Linked DNA regions of Astyanax mexicanus. The main gene of each other region encodes a partner of the protein of the gene in region 2 in a complex. Links are inferred from orthologs where the notes say so. Each region holds a gene or a part of one and is shown on either strand. Other genes may lie near its edges.

What was found. Proteins that work in one complex are often made in the same cells at the same time.
Region 1: cnot9 (region 2) and cnot7 share a complex: the UniProt entries of both Homo sapiens proteins name them as parts of the CCR4-NOT complex. The link is inferred for Astyanax mexicanus from reciprocal best matches to the Homo sapiens genes CNOT9 and CNOT7.
Region 3: cnot9 (region 2) and cnot2 share a complex: the UniProt entries of both Homo sapiens proteins name them as parts of the CCR4-NOT complex. The link is inferred for Astyanax mexicanus from reciprocal best matches to the Homo sapiens genes CNOT9 and CNOT2.

The regions. Positions count from the first base shown.
Region 1 is NC_064417.1:45,486,786-45,493,918, reverse strand, and holds the start of cnot7 (CCR4-NOT transcription complex subunit 7), read right to left. Parts: upstream 3,007-7,133; 5' UTR 2,930-3,006; intron 2,899-2,929; exon of another isoform or gene 2,675-2,898; intron 2,362-2,674; exon of another isoform or gene 2,100-2,361; intron 2,073-2,099; exon of another isoform or gene 917-2,072; 5' UTR 823-916; coding exon 706-822; intron 617-705; coding exon 423-616; intron 1-422. Other genes in the region: mtmr7a (myotubularin-related protein 7a), read right to left, coding at 5,903-6,265. UniProt on the Homo sapiens protein: Has 3'-5' poly(A) exoribonuclease activity for synthetic poly(A) RNA substrate. Its function seems to be partially redundant with that of CNOT8.
Region 2 is NC_064430.1:21,133,281-21,140,605, reverse strand, and holds the start of cnot9 (CCR4-NOT transcription complex subunit 9), read right to left. Parts: upstream 3,103-7,325; 5' UTR 2,937-3,102; coding exon 2,919-2,936; intron 764-2,918; coding exon 584-763; intron 432-583; coding exon 316-431; intron 218-315; coding exon 108-217; intron 1-107. Other genes in the region: ftcd (formimidoyltransferase-cyclodeaminase), read left to right, coding at 5,296-5,349, 5,428-5,611, 6,545-6,673. UniProt on the Homo sapiens protein: Component of the CCR4-NOT complex which is one of the major cellular mRNA deadenylases and is linked to various cellular processes including bulk mRNA degradation, miRNA-mediated repression, translational repression during translational initiation and general transcription regulation.
Region 3 is NC_064409.1:54,388,649-54,395,568, forward strand, and holds the start of cnot2 (CCR4-NOT transcription complex subunit 2), read right to left. Parts: upstream 3,007-6,920; 5' UTR 2,992-3,006; coding exon 2,974-2,991; intron 1,139-2,973; coding exon 1,019-1,138; intron 917-1,018; coding exon 844-916; intron 738-843; coding exon 590-737; intron 463-589; coding exon 277-462; intron 1-276. UniProt on the Homo sapiens protein: Component of the CCR4-NOT complex which is one of the major cellular mRNA deadenylases and is linked to various cellular processes including bulk mRNA degradation, miRNA-mediated repression, translational repression during translational initiation and general transcription regulation.

The sequences.
Region 1 (7,133 bases), on a different chromosome or scaffold from region 2:
TACTAGACAAAACAAAAGTGTTCATCCTTCTCAAACACCTGATATAAGAACCAGATATACTACCCAAGTGGTTTGGGACGAGTTGGAGCACAGAGGGAAGTAAAAAGCAGTTATCAAGAGCTCAGCACCTCTAGCAACTCCTTTAAGACAGTTGGAGAACCATTCAAGGCTCTACCTCATGAAGCTGACTGAGAGAATAATGCCAAGAGTGGGGAAAGCATGCATCAAAGCAAAAAGTGTTACTTTGAAGAATCTAAAGTATAAACCATATTTCAGTTTGTTTTACACTTTTTCTGTTCACATCTTTACCTCAATATTATCATGATATTGGTAGGGTATTTTCACAATACCAATACTCTTGGCAATATGACAAGACATTGAATTAAAGTGTAGTATATTCACACAAGAAATACTGCACTTACGTGAGGTTAAATTTGAAGTTAAACTGCCATGTTGAAGTTCCTGGGGGATACTCCCCTTGTTCATTCATAAAGGTAAGGCCAAGCTGGATAATCTTTAACAAATCAACGTTACACCGCAGTAACTGGTACTGATAGTCTGCATTGCTTCTAAACTCTCCAATCGGCCTCGCAACTACACCTGGAAACTCTGTGTCCTACAAACACAGAAAATTAACAAATCAGATTAACTGAAACACTGCAGATTTTAAGTAAATGGTATATGGCGAAACAAAACAAGGCTCACCATTGCAATGTAACTGTATTTTCGGATGACCTGCCGAATCCTCTTCAGCTCCTCATCCAGGTTACTAGCCCACACCTCACATATTCTTTGGCTATGATCCACAGTGGCTGCGGGCATAGTGCCACTTTCAAATGGAAGGCATCAAAAAATGAAACAAATGCTCCCTTGGGGACAATTTCGTAGAATTTTGGGTCTAATTCTTTATTTACACCTGTGCAAAAAAGGAGGACATATATTAGACTTTTAGAAAATGAGCAAAAGTGTGACACTGAATGCTAACTTACAATATGCTAGATACAACCTTCAGTCAAAAGAAATAGTGAGCGGAATACTCTATCTGTCCATTCACATTTATAGCACAGAATGCGACACAACAAATGACCTGGGTGCCCTTTAGTGCCCTTAGGTTAACTAACTAGTTGGTAAGTTAGTTAGCTAACCATGTAGTCAATTAACTAGCTAGTCATTTAGGGTTATAAACTAGTTAACGAGTTAGTTAGTTAACTGTATAGTCAACTAACTACCTAGTCATTTAGGTTAACTAACTAGTTAATTAGCTAGTTATGTAGTTAGTAAGTCTGTTAGTTAGGTAACTAACTTGCAGCTGAATTTATCTACTTCATACCATAGCAAGAAAGCAGTTATTTTTCTTTGCTAAATAACTAGCTAGTAAATTAACCTAACTAGCTAGCACGTAAGCCATACCATGACCTCATCTGAACCTAGTACCTGGCTAATGAATCTAGTACCTCATTTAAACAGCTAGCTAATAATTGGATCTAAACACAAAGCTTAGTTACCCAAAGTTCCCATATTGGTGCATCCCAAATTTTTACTGGGATTATGTGATTATATCAAGATAAATATTGTGTATTGAAAAAAGGGCTTATTTGTAAATACAGTGACATAACTAAAGTAATGTGTTTATCAAATCGCCTAGCCCTACTTTACTGCAACTTAAATAAGAATTAAGTTTACTAGGTTGGTTAGCCAAGTATGGTATGGCTTACCTGCTAGGTAGTTTAGTAACCAACTAGTTAATTAACTAGCTGACAATTTAAGTTAACCTTGCAGCTGAATCTATCTACCTCGGACCAACCTAAAATCAGATCATTATGGTCTGTGTTGTCTAACCAGAAAGCAGTTACTTTTGTTTGCTAACTAACACAAAACAAGGCTATCTAATCTAGCCATCTAACATACACATAAGTTACTTAAACAGCTAACTTATATAGGTTTAAACAGCTAGCTAATAATAAAAGCCTAGCTACTAAAAATGAGTTAGGTTAATAGTCAAATAGTTAGATTAACTAACTAGTTAGTCATTTAACAAACGAAAAACTAACCAGTTAAATAGTTATCTAGCTAGTTAACTAACTAGTTAGCTAACTTACCTTGTAGCTTAATTTATCTACCTCATATCAACCTAAACCAGATTATTATGACCACAGAACAAAGCTACCAAAAAGCTAGTGAGCTAACAAACACATATTTAAACAGCTAGTTAACACAAAGATAAGCTACCGCCCCCAAACAAACCAGGTGACTAACTGTTACCTAAAGGCAGCTAACCTAGCTAAGCTAACAGCCACAGGCTAGGCTAGGCTAGCTGCCACACCAAACTACACCCACAAACAAACAGCCGACAGAACCTGACACCTGCCTGCCAGTCAGAAAGCTGTGCAGCAGGACAGCCTGGTGTTGGTATATTATATCTGTCACGTTAGACACCGGCTTGCTAAGCTAAACTAAGCTAACGAGGCTCCCTCCTGCATGCTAGCGAATCCTAATAGGAGCTGTTAGCCCCACACAGCAGCTAGCTAACTAGCTGTAGCCCCTTAACTTTGTGCTGCAGGTCTTCTCCAGCTCTCCCCCTCTCTCTCTCTCTCTCTCTCTCTCTCTCTCTCTCTCTCTCTCTCTCTCTCTCTCTCTCTCTCTCTCTCTCTCTCTCTCTCAGTCACTTACTTACCTCCCTCTCTCCCTCTCTCTTTCTCTCTCTCCTCTATTATAGTACACTCATATGCACTGGCTGCTTCAGCAGCACGCGGCTGTCCCGCTCACACTCTCACCAACACTGGGGTCTCAGCTCCACCAAACCCGCCACACAGTTTATTAATCTAACCCCGACATCAGCAGCCAGCTGCCGCCCCTCGGGCTCCATTACAACCCGCCGCCGCCGCCGCCGCGCACCGCGTGACGACACCGGGATACGAGCGCCACTGACCTTGGAGCGTCACGGAGTCTGGAGTCAGTCCAGCAGCGGCGCGGCTTCAAACAGGGGTATAAAACGGTGCAGCAGCTTTAGGATGGAAAAATATATATATAATAATAATGCGTGGCCACGTCTTATTAAAGCGTTAGAACGAGATCCTATTGCGTGGCTACAACCCTAGTTAATTAAGGGAGTGCCTGGAGAGGATATTGCCAGGACTTAATTATTCTGTTCCCACTCTGTAAGAAGCCATGGCCACCTCTTAGGGCCACACATTTTATTTTATTTTTTTTAATATATATATATTTTTTACATAATGTCACATCACATCAGTGTGGAAGCCCATTTGTTTAGGTGGCGGGAATGGGCTTCCATACATCAGGGGCTGCGAAAAAGGTACGGAGCCCCTAAGGTGACATCATGTTTATAATGTTTGATCCTAAGTCATTATTTTGAATTATTAAGTCATTATTTTCAGATATTAAGTCTTTATTTTAACATTCTATGTTTTTATTTTAAAATATTAAGTCACAATTAAGAGATACTACGTGTTTATATGAAAATATGCTAGTATCTCAAAGTAATGACTTAGTTTCTCAAAATAAAAAGGTAGCAGCTCATAATTACAACGTAGTATTTAAACATAATGACATAGTATCTCAAAATAATGACTTTACTACAGACAAAGGATTTCTAAATTGACATTTTCAAAGCTCAGTTAATAAGAGCTGTGAGCTGTTAACCAATCAATTGTCTGGTAAATTTTTTTTTAAAAATATGCTTTTGCAATATATATATATTTATATGTATATTTGTTAATTTGTTTTTCTTAAAGGCCCTGCCAGTTTAAATGGCAAAAATACAGGGAAAATATGGGGGTGTTCTAAAACTTTTGACTGGTAGTGTATATGTTTGCAGTTTCCCAATATATATATAATAGAAATAAACAAATGCCTAACCAAAGAGGGTGAGGTCACATGTAAACTTTATTTATTTTTATTTATTGTTTAGGTACAATTGCACTAGTAATGTAAGTGTGAGAACAGAGAGTTACCTCTCAGCATCCACAGGGAAATGTATATAATGCTTACACTGCATTTTTTCATGCATATTTTCAATTACTGTATATGAGAGAATTAATGCCCAACATCATCTGAATAAACCAGTGTGAAGATAAGTTCCAGCAGTTTCCACAATGACCATCTAGTGTGCTTTATAATATGCTGCTCATATATTGTCTTTATTATTTATTATTCTTTTGTTCTCAGTAATACTTTTATAGTGTGTGTTCAGACTGTAGGTTGTTATGGTGTGAAGTGAAGCATCTTTGGCCTATGATCATAGATTATGAGCTGTGAGAAAAAAAAAAAAAAAACTGATGAGAGAGGTCAACAGAGAATGCTGGTTCAAGATGGTTCAAGACGACAGAAAGGCTACCATAACCCTGGCTACCATAATCCTGTATTCACACTGGCAAAGAACAAGTCGCTCACGCTGCCCCAAGTTGGTCTCTTTTGGGTGTGTTTGAGGCAGCTTGTGTTGTTGTGTGTGGGTGTTAACAGGTGTTAGTATAGTTTGTTAACATGCTGGCTAATCTAGCAAGCTACGTATCAACTGACCAACCAACCAGAGAAACCAACAGTATCTGCTAATTTCTCTCTCGCTTTATTTTATTTTTCTTCAGACTGTCCCTGTAAATGTGCAGATTTGCATCATAACAAGGGGAAATGAGAAACAACTATGATTTTCTTTCCTGTTCAGAAAAACATTGTAAAAAAATAAGAATGAAATGCTGGTCAGAACCAAATGTTCAGATAGAAGAGCATGTATAGACCTATCTGGACGGGATTCGCTTCTCAGGGGACATCTGTGAAAAAATATTTCACACTTATACTCAACTAGTTTATTAAATGAGAGGTGACGAAACTCAGAGATGTGCATCCGGACGGGACTAAAATTACCGGAGTTCAGCAAAAACAGGTAATTCTGACTGTAATTGTATCAGAGGACGTCTGAGAAAACCACATACAGTCATTCCGGGGGGAAAAAATCACAGAGAAAAAAATCAAAAGAGAAAATTACCCCAGGACCCCCTGAAAAACGAATCCCGTCTGGATAGGGCTTATGAAAAAAATTGTCAGGCTATTGTGAATATCGCTTTATCTTGTTGAAATTAATTTGCATACGGAAAATTTTAACTCAATTTGTTGTTCGCCACTTTGTCAATTAATGCACCCATTCGATATTACTTTGCCAGTTATTGAGTTATTAAGAATAACCCAGATAACCATTCTGTAAAACGAAAAATATTTCCACTTTTGTCAGCCAAGAACAGAAAGCTGAGGCTGCAGTGAGCACAGATTCACCAACACAGCACAGTTGCAGACTGACATAATTGTACTTGTGCTGTTCTTTCTAACTAGGGAATGTTCACTTAAAGAACCATTGAAACTCTTTGGCTCATTGGGAATGTCCTTTGAAAGACTGGGAGGTTGTGACACGTGTTTAGTATTATGGGAACAGAGACATCAGTCCAAACTTTTGTGAGGTCTTGTCCTCACAACTGAAACCCCTTACTCAATGCTGTTGTCCATTTTCCTTTGTCCTCACAGCTCTTTTTTCCTTTTCCTTTATGTAAAAATTGCATGAATTCTGATCTTGGAAATAATAATATCAGATTCAGTGTGTTTTTTCTGTTTACACTGCCACACATATCACACATCTGTGTCACACATCACTAAAATGCATGTTGCTACGCTGTGACATGCGGGTTTACAACTGCAAATCATTTCATGCACATACAAAATGAAATAATGTCATAAATATTGTAATAAATAAATCAACACTTCCCTTTGTTACACCGGCAACAATAAATACATTTGATTATGCATGTTTATGCATTTGAAATGGAGCATGTAGTATGTAGCATGATTGCACAGGCCCCAATGGGAATGCTATGGCTTTCATTTATTATAGATCACGTTTTTAGACAGTATTAAAAGCAGCTTCATCTAAATCAGCGTCCTTTACACTGTCTTCACTCGGAAATGAATCCCCGCCGCTGGAGGAGTGACCGCTGAAGTCGGCCACTCCGGACTCCTGATCGCTGTTGTCGGGGTCTGAGGTTTTTGGAGTGACTCCAAACAGGCCGAGCCCCGTGCTCTCAGTCTCCTTCTGCTGGAGGGACCAATCTTTAGGACTGCTCCCTAAAATTCCTTCGTTGTAATCCTGAGGCGTGTTGGCCAGGCTTATGTGTGCTGGCTGAGCCCAGAGAGCCTGGCTCTGATTAACTGTATGCTTATTCACACACACACCGTTCACCTGCTCTTTACCCAGGGCAGCGAGTTTCTGCAACAAGACACACAATTCAGTCGTTTAACAAAAAGCTTCAAATCACTGCAACCTAAGAAAAAATACTGAATTCCCTTTAGGGGTGGACGATAAGGCCATAACATGATATTACAATATTTTAGTGTATTTTTGTGAGAACAATTTTCTTGGTATGATATGGTATGGCAAAATTCTGAAAAATGTATAAGTATTTTTAAGAATATATTACCATAACAAAATATATGTTTGGTCATGTCCTTAGAAATACTGAGTGGTTGCGACACAAGCCTTTTATTATAATGGCAACAGAGACAGCAGTCCAAATATGTGTGGGGTCTGTTACCTCTGCACTGAAACCCTCACTGCTGTTGTCCAATTATTATTGTAAAGAATATACTACCATAACTAAATACAGCTCTGTAAAAACTTAAAACCTCTGGAATATAATCAAGAGGAAGATGGATGATCACAAGCCATCAAACCAAACTGAACTGCTTGAATTTTTACACCAGGAGTAAAGGCATAAAGTTATCCAAAAGCAGTGTGTAAGACTGGTGGAGGAGAACATGCCAAGATGCATAATAACTATGATTAAAAACCAGGGTTATTCCACCAAATACTGATTTCTGAACTCTTAATAAAACGTAATGAATATAAATATAAAGGTCTGAAAGCTCTGCTTTTTTTTGTTATTTCAGCCATTTCATATTTTCGGCAAATAAATGCTCTAAACGACAATATTTTTATTTTGGAATTTGAGAGAAATGTTGTCAGAAGTTTATAGAATAAAAAAAACAATGTTCATTTACTCAAACATATTCCTAAATAAAATAAATAAATAGCAAAATCAGAGAAACTGATTTAGAAATTGGAGTGCTCTCTTATT
Region 2 (7,325 bases):
CACACAAATCCACCTTTTTGATCCTGCCATCTCTACTATAAGATTCTGCTTAAATCACAACCCCAGTATCTGTGGATGTTCTCAGTTGTAAAGCAAAATTAACCTACCAATGACTCCAAGGCTGGTGAGGCGAAGGTATTCAAAGGGTCTCGTTTTACTAACGGTGTGTAGGAAAGGGTACAGAAACAGAGGGATGTGCGCTGCCAGGAACGCAGAGCTGGAGGGATAAAAGAAAAGTTTAAATTAAGGAACATGCAGACAATTTAGTCTCCAAACTGTATTAATTGTAAATCAGAGTGGGTTTGCAGCATTTACCGTGTCTCCACATGCGAGGCCACACATTGCAGAAGTGCTAAGGCATTGCACACTCTGTTGGACTGATGGGCTGTAAGCGTGGGAGGGTTAATGGAGGGGTAGATGTTCACTATCTCCTGTTAAAATAAAAACACATGAAAAAACATTCATCAGACACTGTGTTGGGAGACTCTGTTACAATACTGCTTTATATTATGTTATCAAAAAGATAATAGTAGGAATGTGTAATTTTTGGTTATGCTGTACTTATGAAGTTTCTAGTTTTTACCTGAAGGAGTGCAGCAATGGTCCCACAGGAGTGCCAGAGCATTGGAGCCAGATCAGTCACCGATTCCCGTTTCTTGCTGAGCTCAAGAAGTGCATTCTCCCGCGTCTCAGGGCTCGAGAGCTCATTGATCCACTGATAGATCTTCTCACGGTCCACCTGCGCCAGCGCCGTGCTTACAGCCTTGGATAAAAAACGCACAAATGTTAATCAGGCGTTTCCTTATGACCATCAATTCTTAAGATTTTTTTAAATTATTAGTACTGGAATTGCTCCATTATTTAGCATCATCATAATAGTATTACCCAAACCTAGTAGACAAAAATCCCATACAATTTTATACAGTGAGTAGAAATCCCTCACAATATCTCATAATATCCAGGTAGCAAGTGAAACTGAAACAGCACTGTTTACAACTAATGTTGCAACAAAGCAGCTTTACACACATCAGCAGCAGGACAAAATATCAAACACAAATATAAAACCTCCACAGGGGAAGCAGAAGGCAAAATTTACCAATTATAAAATTACACATATAAAGTCACTGTACCATCACATCTGCCTGTTGTTGTGCTCAGGTGTACTGATATAATCATCAGTGGTAAGAATGATGAGAATAAATTAATTAATAATTACCATGGTTAATGGTAATAATTAGAATAATAATAATAACAGCAATTATTCGCTAGACTAACAATTTGGAATTGCATATAATCACCTTCCATTGCTTAAATGATCACCTCAATGCTGCCTGACCACCTGTAGTAAAATCACCTACACCCTCAGTTGATCAACTCATTTGATTCTACCCCTTAGGGATAATGACATATGTCAAGAGTGTGACTTTATATGTAAGTTGTTAAGATAATTGGTTCTGGTTACTACAGTAACCCTACAGAAACATCTCAGACGGAATATTTGATAGAGCATATCTTGTGGTGTTCCTCAGGGTTGTACTCTAGGGCTAATGAAAGTGATATTATTATTAAAACTGTTGCTCTGAGAGTGTATGACTGAGATGTAGCTCACACACAGGTTCTAACTGGGAAAGCAATCAAAACTAACTAATGTAATGTTAGGAAAACTATATTGGAAACTTCATAGATTGTAGTGCTTTACAACCTTAGGATGGCCGTAATACAGTTTGAGAGACACTGTTTTACAGTAACCCTAGTTTCTAAAAGAAGCAAATATCGTTCTACTGAGATATCCTCTGGCACCTCCTACATGTAAACAGTTACATTTAAATTTACAGTCTCAATTACCCCATTTAAAAATTGCATTAAAACAGTATTTAGTTTAATCAAATTAATTTACTTAACCTCCCAGCTCTACTTACGCAGGTAACTGGCACAATTGAACAAGTAAAACCCTTTAGCATGTTTACTGTAATGGAGTAATACATTAGTACTCAGTTGTACTTCTTTGTGTAAGCTATTGCTAATGTTTTAATAAGACTACTTTATCAGATCTATTTACTGCTTATATACCGAATTATAAATCATAAGACTAATAATTAATAACTTTAAACTGTCAGCCTCAACTCTTCCCAAACTCACAGACACGACCGTTAGCCAAACTTCAGCTACTGCTATCAACCAAGGATTATTTTAGATAGCTAACTGTTATATAAGCACTTATTTCGTAGCTTAATTCCAGTTGAGTTTAACTTACTTCTTCATTTTAACTTTTTTTACTTTACCAGTTTTACTCAATTTGAGTTTATTAGCTAAACTAAGAACTGTAAATTTGCTAGCTAAACAACTTTCTAGTTAGCGTTAGCAGCTAACTTAACCAGCGTACTAGCTAAGATAGCTAAGCTAACATTAGATAGCAACCGTGCCATTCAAACTTTAAGGAAGCTAATGCCAGCTACAGGACGAAATATTACGATATAAACATCGGAGATTTGTGAATATCTGTAATAAAAACATTAGCTAATATTCGCTATAATTTGCATCTAACTAGATAGCTAGCATAGCTTAGCTAACTAGTGTTAATACGTCCAACACCCGTTCTAGCTAGCGAGCTAGCTCAGGCTAACAGGCAACGCTACTTCGTTAGCATTAGCATTCGACCGTAATGACCAATTTAAAAGGCGTCCAGTTTTTATTATTTCAATTAATTAATTTAAATCTCACAAAGGCTCAAGGCTGCAGATAAATTAGATACGGGGCTGAATCTCTGTAATATATAGCTACATAAGAGTGAAGTTGTGAAGCTCTTTAGCGCAATTAGCCGCTCCGGCTAGCAGGCCGCGCAGTGAGTTTTAGGTTAGCTGATGAATGGAGGTTAATATTAAAGTTAAAATCAGAGCAGAACCGCGCATTTAACTTACCGCTCCTGTGGCCAGCATATTCGGAAGGGCTGTGTTCAGTCTTTCGGCAGCCGTGGAGATCCTTCTTCAGCCCAAAATACACAGAAATCCCTCAGAATTCACATCAGACATTCACAGTCTGCTCCACCGTCCACACTCACGCCTGCAGACTCAGACATCCAGTCTGAGGAAGCTCCAGATCCAGCAGAGGGAGCCCTGTGGAGATACCGAGATACCGATCCAGATACTATAGGATATCAGTGGATACTTACATTTCTACTGATATGTAAAGGCAAACTGAGATTAATGTATGATGATTTATGATGAGTGGAAACCAATTCATATTCTAGATTGTATATTTGCTATTTATAGGAATATGTTTCAGTAAAATTAACATTGTTGTTTTATTCTATAAACTACGGACAATATTTCTCCAAAATTCCAAATAAAAATTTTGTCATTTAGATGCAGAAAATGAGAAACGGATAAAATAACAAAAATGTTGCAAAATTTTCAGACCACAAATAATGCAAAGAAAACAAGTTTATATTCATAAAGTTTTACGAGTTCAGAAATCAATATTTGGTGGAATAACCCTGGTTTTTAATTACAGTTTTCATGCATCTTAGCATGTTCTCCTCCACCAGTCTTACACACTGCTTTTGGATAATCATTTTTCCTCATAATTTTCCTCTTATTTTTTTTCTGCTTAAAGGAGAATCCTGTGTAATCCTGTGGAGAATGGACTTGGGTTGTAACCCAAGTGAAACATGATAAGTACAAATTATGTCAACAGGCTTACAATGCTAGTGATAGGGGCATAGAGTTGTCCGTGTAAAGAAATCTCAATTTTAACACTGTCAGGGCTCATAGAATTCTACCAATCTGCTTTGAGCTTGTTAATGGTGTAAAAATAGAGATTTATTTGCATGAATACTGCTATTGCTTCCATCGTACGCCTGTTGCTGCATTTCGGACGTGGACTATTTGACCAAAGTTTTGTACTCACAAACAATGTTTCACAACACCCCAACACCCCATTTCACATCAGAGTTCTCCTTTAAAATACCAGCTCGACACCAGCTTTTGCTGGTAGCTGGTATCGGATGGTCTAAGTTTGAATATTACACAACGTTGTGTAAAAAATACAGAATGCAAAAAATGTGCAAATCTAACAGAACCACATTTAATTCACAGTAAAACAAAGCACACATTTCAGATGTTGAAAGTAAGACAATTTACCATTTCAAGAAAAATACTAACTTATTTAGTGTGTGATGGCAGCAAAGAAACTTCAAAAAGTTGGGACAGGGCATCAAAAGCCAGAAAAAGTTAGAGGTACTAATAAAAACAGCTAAAATAGGAGCAATTTGCAACTAACTCACAGAGCTGGGTATAAAAAGTGAATTTTAGATAGGCAGTAAAAGAAGTAAAGATAGACAGCGGTTCACCAATCTGTGAAAAACTAGGAAAATGTAGACTTTTGATATCTGACCATCTATTATTACTATAATATTACAAGTGCATTGTTGATGAAATTGGTATGGAGATGCTAGCTTTCATTTTCAATATTATTGCCTTAATCAGACATGTATCCAAAAATGGACCCATTTGATCAGATGTTTTGTAGCTGTTTTCTGTTTGCTACACCCCCTACCAGGTTTTGGTTCTCTGATGAATCAATTATTTACTGCAACCTAGCCACCTTCTGTTTGCTTTTGGGATGTTATGAAACTCTTGGGCCAAATATTAAACTTGGCTTCATCTCTTGATGTGTTTGACCAGTAGGTCCAGAAGGTCCGTTAACAGTTTTGTACACAGTGAGTGGTTCATGTGTACAACTGGCATGTAACATTGTTTACCCCATTGTAGCCAAGCAGACAAGACATGTTTGGTGTCTAAAATTAGAATTTTTTTACATTTTGCACATAAGCTACAAGGCTAGCTAATGCTAAGTGCTGAAAGGTCATAGGAGACAATTTACTGGAAAATACAATGAGGCAAAGATAGCTAAGAAATAGATTCTGAAAGCGTATTATTAGTAAAATGAAACAGAAGGAGGATGTTTTTAATAAAGAGGCCAATATGTGAAAGCCCAATGTTGGTGTTTATTTTATGGTGGCAATTGAGTTTTGGTGATGCAAGGCTTGACCTGAGATTAATGATTTGGATTAGGATGGCGAATACTTTTGGCAATATAGTGAATGTCTGTGACTGAGTGAATATGACAGACTTGTGTGTTATCTGAAGTGACAGGCCAATCATTGGCTGCTGACCCAGATAAGGCCCAGTGGGGCGGGTTAATCATTCTAGAGGAGCACTAACTTAACTCTCTATAGATCCGTCGAGGACCCAGTGGTGGAGCCGCTTCAGTCTGTGTGTCTTACCTCTCACAGCCATGGCTAAGCTAATCGAGTGTGTGCCGAACTTCTCAGAGGGACGAAATAAGGAGGTAAAAGCAGATTCTGACCATTATTGACTGTCACAGACCAGGAGAACCCATACTAACTTTATTAATTCTCTTTACCAGGTAATCAATGCCATAGCTGATGCCATCTCGGCCACTGAGGGCTGCAGTCTGCTGGACGTGGACCCCGGCTCGTCCACCAACAGGACGGTCTACACATTCGTGGGCCCCCCACAGGCTGTGGTGGAGGGAGCCCTGAACGCTGCTCGAACCGCCTTCACCATCATTGACATGAGCAAACACACAGGTACAGTTAACACTCACATCTTTATTAGAAATCACCATGCAAATAATAGTGCTTTCACTAAAGCTGGGACATTGTGTAAAATATAAAAACAATTGTAAATAAAAACAGAATGTAATTATTTTCAAATCTATTTTAACCATATTTTATTCACAATAGAACACAGAACACATTTTAAGACACTGAAAGTATGACACTTACGATTTAATGAAATACATGAACTCATTTAGAGTTTGATTTCAGAAACACATCTCAAAAAAGTTTGGGCAGCACATCAAAAAGCAGAAAGTGGTGCTAATGGTACTAATAAAAAACATCTGCATTAGGAGCAATTTGCAACTACTGTAACTTACAGGGCTGGGTATAAAAAAGGCATTTTATATAGTCTCTTTTGGTTAAGTAAAGATGGACAGATATCAGATCATCTTCACCATAATATCAAAATATAACCAAAAGTTTCAGAGTATTTGGATAAATCCCTGTACCCAAGGGACAAGGCAGACAGTCTAAAAATGCATGTTAAAGCTGTATCATGCAATGAATGCCAGTACTGCTGCCATCTTATGACCAAAGCTAATTCAAAATAGACTGAGGCAAAATAAAAACCATTCTGTGATTAAATGCATCAAATTTTTTATTTTAAGTGAGCTTTGGCCCTTTTGGAGTGGTTTCAAAACAAGGCACAATGCAGTGCATAGTAACCAATCAGAGCAGAGCCAAATTGGGACACCCAATAAAACCTATGTCTTTAAAAACATTTAATAATCTGAACATTTGATCTTCATTAAGATATGGAGTTATTATAACAATAATAAAACAAGTAAGCCTGTGCAATGGCAAGGGTTAAAGTGAGATAAAAAACATATTGTGTAAAAATGAATCATGTCTGTTATGATATGTAACCTTTTAGAAATCTGTCCATGTTTGAATGTGCAGGTGAGCATCCTCGGACAGGGGCCATGGACGTGTGTCCTTTTATCCCGGTACAGAACGCCAGCATGGAGGAGTGTGTGGAGTGTGCTAATGAGTTTGGCCGGAGGCTGGGGGACTTGCTTCATGTGCCAGGTGAGATAAACCTTTTAAAGGGACCTTATCAAAACAGTATTTATTTTTTTTAACTCATTTATTTTCTGATGTCTCAAAAATCGGAACATTTGATAGAGCAGTCCACACCCTCCCATTTATTTTGAAACGTTTAAGATTTTAATCTAGCACTGCTTTTTAAATCAAGAACAAAATACAGAACCAATCAGACGAAAGCTCATTTATATACAGCTCTGTAAAAAAGACCACTTCATTTCATGAATCAGTTTATCTAATTTTGCTATTTATAGGTAAATATTTGAGTAAAATTAACATTTGTTTTATTCTATAAACCTTGAACAAGAAAATGCAGAAAATTACAAATAGCTGAAATAATAAAAAAGATGCAGAGCTTTCAGACCTCAAATAATGCAATAAACAAGAGTTCAGAAATCAATATTTGCTGGAATAACCCTGGTTTTTAATCACAGTTTTCATGCATCTTGGCATGTTCTCCTCCACCAGTGTTTCACACTGCTTTTGGATAACTTTATGCCACTCCTGGTGCAAAAATTCAAGCAGTTCAGTTTGGTTTGATGGCTTGTGATCATCCATCTTCCTCTTGATTATATTCCAGAGGTTTTTAATTTGGTAAAATCAAAGAAACTCATCATTTTTAAGCGGTGTTATGTTT
Region 3 (6,920 bases), on a different chromosome or scaffold from region 2:
AGTTAGAGAGCTAACGATAACAAGGTTGTGGTTTCAGCAAGCTAACACTGTTGGGCCTTTGAGAAAGGCCCTTAGTCCTCACTGCTCTCCAGTTGCCACAGGAATGGCAGCCCACTGGTCCAGGCACATATGCTCACTGAGTGTGTCAAGTTTTTTTTAATACACAGCAATACTTAAATCATTAACAGCCTCCTTAATAAATGCATTAAGTTATCATAGGTGCCAATACATGCCAGCCTGGACTTTGAGTTATGCCGTTAGGAACAGACATTGTACCTGTTGATGGTGAAAGGTTGCTGTCGTGCTGGTTGCTGCTTTGGCATGCAGATGATGCTGGGAGAGCTGCGGTTGGGGCTGCCAAGGCCCGAACTGCCCATACTGTTGGTCCTGCCACTCATGCTCATGCCCTGACCCACCTGCGAGTGATTCATAATGTTCCTGGTATTCATGGGAAGAATTCCCCTGCAAATCAAAAGAGAATGTAAATCAGGTATATGGGGCATCCCCACACTGTTCACAGAGAACAAACAAGAAACATAACAGGAAACGTTGGATAAAACTTTGAAAGCAGGCAAAGTCATAGGCCTACCTGTTCGGCGAAGGTGGGGTATGGAGGGACATCGTTGGGACGCCCGTTGTTGGGGTGTTATGGCTCGGTAACTGAGTACCTTGTGTTAAACTCCGGTTTAACTGAGGGTTGTTGTTGTTCATGCCCCTTATTGAGAAGCCTAGTGCACCTACAAGAATCACACCAGAAAAATCATATATAAAACATTTTTATATTTAATGAGTGGTCTTAAAAACTGCAACACAATACAAGCAAATTTAGAGAAATGTACTCACTTTGTGGACCATACAAACTTGCACCAAGCTGCGACAATTGACCTGACGACGATGGTGAGGGAGATGCCAGCATCTGCAAGATTTACAAACTCTTTCATTTTCCTACATTTGTGCTGCACAAATTGTATTTTTTTTTGTAACTTGTCAACTGAAGGCATGTAACTTTTGCTCTTACATCTTTCTCTGTTCGATGAGGAAACATCGAAGGCTGACCATAGTACATGCTCTCATCTGGGTAGTCGCTTTCGACCCCCTCAAACTTCTTTCTTGTAGCACTGAACATTCCGTTCGTCACCTGAGAAAAAACAATAGTTTTAGAAGGTTAAAAGGAAAGCCAGAATAACTGGATTTGATCAGAGATGTTCTAGAGACCACTTTAAGTAGAAAACAAGAAACTTGCTTTTTACATTTACTAAACCTTTACTGGACTAAGTTGTAAAACTCATACTAACATAAGATGTATTTTATGATTTAACTCAGTTATTTAAAAAAATACAGGATCTTTAAACAAAAATATATTTTTTTTGTTTAAAGATTAGTCTGGGAGTAAACTTGTAAAGCTCTGTGAAACCCAGAGCTTCTTAATACTTCCTGCTCAGGACCAAGTTTAACTCAGATCAGTAAAACAGGCCCCAAAGCTACACAATATTGTCAATAAAAGCATTCAGAGCTTTTCTGCCAGTGTTAAGATTATTATGGCTGTTGTGAAAGAGATCTGAGCGCATGAGTTCCATGTGACCACACAAGAAAAAAGTAAAAAGGTCCAAATAAATCACACAAAACAAGCTTCAGAGCGAACAGGCACTAAAGAATAAACAAAGTCAAAAGCAATGAGAATAATTACACTGCTCATCACTTCCATTGTTTACATTAACACTTGCTACTCTTGTTAATAGCTACCTTGACAGTTTGGCACTGACAGATAACTTATGTATAGCTAGCTAATATTAAGCTGCAAACGTGTGTGATACATTATAAAGTGGTTAACTAGCTAGACGATCCGCGTGTTAACGATATAACCTAAAAAGGATCAAGCTAAAAGCACAGAGACCTGCTGCTTTAAACACAGTAACGAGCTAACCGCTAGCTAAGCTACCCAGTATACATCCAGAACACATCTAACTCTGGACTACGGCTTATAATCGTGTTAGCCAGCTAAGCTAGCTAACGCTAACTAGCTGGGCAAACTCTTTCGGTACAGACAGAAGCTCGTATTTTTTTCTTTTACGGTGTTGTATCGTTAGATATTGCTTTCAAGTTTGCAAAAATGAATTAGCTAACTACATTAGTTTGTTAAAAAACAAAAAACAAATCCACAATATTTTACTCCGGATTCTTAAATAACGCTAGCTAAGTTAGTTATCTAGCCGGGCTAACGAATTAACGTTAGTTATATAGGGTTAGCTAACCTTGCTAGTTAAAATAGCGGTATGAACAGACTGCTCGTTAGCTTAGTTGGCTTAGCTAACTAACGTCAGAAAATTAAATGGGAAGCTATTGATGGATATGAATCCAACCAACACGATAGCTTCTTAAGCTAGCTAGTTAGCTAACTAGCTAACCTGCCTAGTTGGTTAAAATAGCGTTACGAACAAGCTAACTAGCGTCAGAGAATTACATTGGGAGCTATTGATGGTTATGGATTCAACCAACCCGATAGCTTATTAGCTAGTTAGCTAACTAGCTAAACCTAGCTAGCTTACAAATCCAACAGCAGGTAGATAGCTAAGCTAGTTAGCTACCGAGCTAAAGTTGCTCAGTCTACATAATAAAAAAAAAACATCTGAACAGCGGCTGACGATACTGACAAAACACGGCTTCGTCCACAACACAGCAGGCTAAACCAGACTCCAGATTAGACCGTGGATCGCGTTTCAAGTCGCGGCACAACAGTTTCTTTTAATTATTTACCGGATGGAGCACTAGCCTTTAGCTCGTAACACAGCTACAGATAAAGCTAGAGCTAGCTTAACAAAGTCTATCCGGCTGTGTTCGGTGGAGGCGGTGTAGTTTAGCTAGGCCACTGCGCCTCCTGCTCCGCTCCAACCCGCATCTCTATCTAAGCCCTTTAGCTTCAGGTATCAGGCTGGTGCTAACGCAGCTAGCTCGGACAAAAACACAGAGACGTACGAGTCCGTGTAAAGCCATCTCTCCGCGAGTTCGAGCTCAACCTACATGCGAGGTTGAAAACCCTCCGACGCTACAGCTCTGTTTTCGTGTTGTGTTCGAGGCGGGCCGCGCGGAGTGGTGTTTTTTGTTAATAAATGAAGAAATCCACTAACCGCATTAATTTCCCCTCTCCTCGTAGACCCAAGATGGCTGTGTATCCTGCAGCCGAGAATCCTGGGTGAACAGCCTTTACCCCCTGACCCTGCTCTGGCCTCTACAGCAGCCCTCACTGCTTTACATTAATATTATTATTATTATTATTATTATTATGGGCCTTAAATTATCACTTATTTTACTATATTCAGGTTCTTCAGTAATTATAATCACGACATTACTGTTCACATTTTAGCTTCTGTATAAACGTTATAATGCACTAAATGAGCTATTCCATATCTCTAGTTAACCTGACTTCCTGGGCCAGCATCAGTATTCCCCCCACAAGATACCCTGTTTGACTGATTTATACTAGTCTTTCATAGCAAGAATATTGGACATAGTGGCCTAAACTAACAAAACATAAGTTACAGTTGTTACTATATAACATTTTCAGTATTAGTTCCTCTAACTAAATTATTTTTAGCTGAGGCCTGTTCATGTTGTTTCTTTGTTTTAAATCATTTTACACATAGATATATATTGTATTTATGTTTTATTTATTTTTGTCCATACTTATTTAATAAAAATTAAATGAAAGTAGCCAAAGACAATTATATGTAAATGTATGTAAACTTGTTATAGCTTTTAGGCCATTTATCTCTGCGATAAGAGTTTGCTTGTAAAAGGTACAATTAAACATAAATAGAAGTTATAAAAGAAGAGTTATTTATGTTTATTTGTACCTTTTACAAATAAAATAGTAACAAATCATTTGTCCTTTTGAAGGAAATAAAGTAAATAGAAGCCATATCTTGTCATTTTTAAGAAAGTGCAAAAAAACAAAAGAAATGTTTAATAAGCACATTTATGATATTATGTTATGTTATGTAATTATGTTATGTTATTTATGTATTTATTTATGTTTATTTATATTTGTATATTATATTTATATATATTTATATTTATATATTTATATGTGTATTTATATGTGTATTTACTGAACAAATAAAACCTTTTTAAGATTCATCTGTACATGTGCCTTAAATGTTATGTATGTAAACTGATTGACAAAAATGAACACCCTGGATTGCTGGAAAACTTGGCATTTAATTATGTCTCAGACAGATTTGTAAATCATGTTTATGCCTAGAACTGGGAAGCTGGAATTTCCTAGTTTTCCTAGTTTCCGGAAATCTTAACTTGAACGCTCCTACAGGTCAGATTTCCTACTCAAAAAAGTTGGGGGAGCCTCGCCAACCTTGAGTTTAGAATCCAACGTTCACAATAGCCGAATATCCCGGGTAAATGGAACTCAGTGTTAGTCTTGCCACAAGAGGGTATAACTGTGACAGTCAGTCACACCTAGTAGTAAGACAATGCTCACTCACACACAGCAAGTTTTTCCCAGAAATGTCTTCGCCAGTTGCAACACTTGGCCTGTTTGATCAACAGATTTTCAACAATTATGTGTTTCTTGCACTTACTTCATCAGTGGATGAGTGGGCAGAATCTACAGGCCCAGATGCAACATCTGTGATCAAATATGCATAAGCATGCCCTCTGCTCCAATTTAATATAAATATCACATCAAACCGACCATAAGTGATTATAGTAGTCATACCACACTTCAGCTTAAGGGTATTTGCATACATTTACACAGTCACCATCATTTAAGATAACCATATCATGTTTGGCGCATAGCCATAACAAGTATGATACAGTCATTTTAAGTATAATGTTTTATATCCACTGCATGCAATCACTATCTGTAGTCTGTAATTCACAGACTATTATACTTATGCTTATACTTATATTACAGACTATAACTTATGCGGAGAATCTTCTCTGTTAAGTCTCTAAGACAGTGGTTTTGCAAACTTTAAATTGGCCACCTTTGTAATTTTGTTCATGAAACCTTCTACAAATAGTATCTGACAAATACACAACCAACTCCTCAAGGTTGTTTTTGACCTGTCAGATAGACAATTAAAGATTTTTCTGAAGATTAGTAAAGATTTTATCAGTGGAGTTCTTCCTTGGCCTACTAGTCCCTTTAAGAATAAAAACTGAGCAGTGCACTGTTTCTTCTTAATGATAGTCCATACATTTGATTTTATAATCCCAAAAATATGTCCCAAACAATATAGACGTCACTGTATGTGGAAAAAAAGTTTATTATATTTATTTCAATATTTATATTAACATTTATTATGTGACATTGATAATGGTAGAATTTGGCAGTTGACTTTCATCGATAATGTATGAGTTTTTTTTTTTTCTTCTCCAAACTCTAGACTTTTTTAATTCAGGTTTCCATTATGTAAGTTCTGTAAATATGAACTCAGTCATAGCCATTTATCAACAACAATGGTGTAAAGACTAGTACACACTTTCTTCATTGTACAATTCTGCTGGCAGAGCATCAACATCATAAGCTCTTGACAGAAGCTCTCCGCTCTGCCAAATAACCACACAGACGCCCAACTGGCTGGCAGCTACAGAGTGATGACAGCAAGTTGAATACTGATGTCTTTCTTTCAGTAGAGTGACATCTCTGGTTTTACTGCAGGTGACATCAGACCATCTCTGTATTGTCTATAGTATACTATATACTCAGGGTTTTAATTTCACTGAATAGGCTGTATGTACAATGTATTACAGTTTCGACTGTTAATAGTGCAGTGTGTAATATTTGTATGTATGACAGTGAGTACATTAATGCATATCACTGTATGTTTTGTGCCTCTTCTGCTGCAATGATGTGTGGGTTCACACACTCAAGACTTTCATTTTCATTTTCAATTTTATGTGATAATCTTAAGTAAACACTGACATGTTTAAATTCTGCCTAGTTCCTACATGTGTGTCTAATCCACTGACAATACAAGTCTACTATTACAGAGCCAGGAAAGGGTATTTCCTGATTCCTTGTTTTGTTTTGCGTGTTATGCATGCTTAATTATTGGAAACTTTAAACTAAATTCAATTTAAGACTAAGGCATAAAATATTTTTAAATGGGAACAGCTAAAAATGTTTACAGGTTAATCAATCAGACAATTCATGCATTTAAGCCACCTCTGTTGAATTTAAACATAATTTACAGTAATAAATATAAATCACAGTAATTTGAATTACGTATATGGAGATAAAATGTCTCAACAAACAACACATGATACAGGGATCAACAGAAATACTGGAAGTTTTTTTATTATTATTATATTGTTCGAAAAGGTTTTACTAAGAAAACTTGAAAAACAGTTGTGAATCATCTCAAAAGTGGCTGAACACACACAAGATCACCAAGAGCATATAAGGAACTGTATCTCTAATTATGCAAAACATTGGGGTGGTAGTTTGATCTGTATCCTTGGTGAATTGCCATAATTAACAGAACAAAACAATTCTGTTAGTCTACCAGAAAATCCTGCAATAGTGGCCTAGTTAAAGTCTTGATTTAAACCATATTGCTGTGACAGGAAATACATGCATGTACTCAAAGTACTTCAACATGGCTGTATTATTGTAGAAGAGTAATAGTGACCTTTTTGTCTCGAACAACTGAAATTATTATTTAAAATCTGCTTTTTCTCATGTTCTTTTTGGCCTACTGAGTTTATTAGCAATATCTGGATGGATATCTGCCGCCGTTCTCCTTCAGTTGTCACCGACGTGTGTTTCAGAACTTTCGAATCGGACAGTTCTTCGCGCCTGACACTCTGGCAGAAACTCCACCCTCTTTGACTAGGTCTGCCTACACACTAAGAAAAGTAAGTACAGATTTGTACCTAAAAGAGTACAAAGCTTGTCGCTG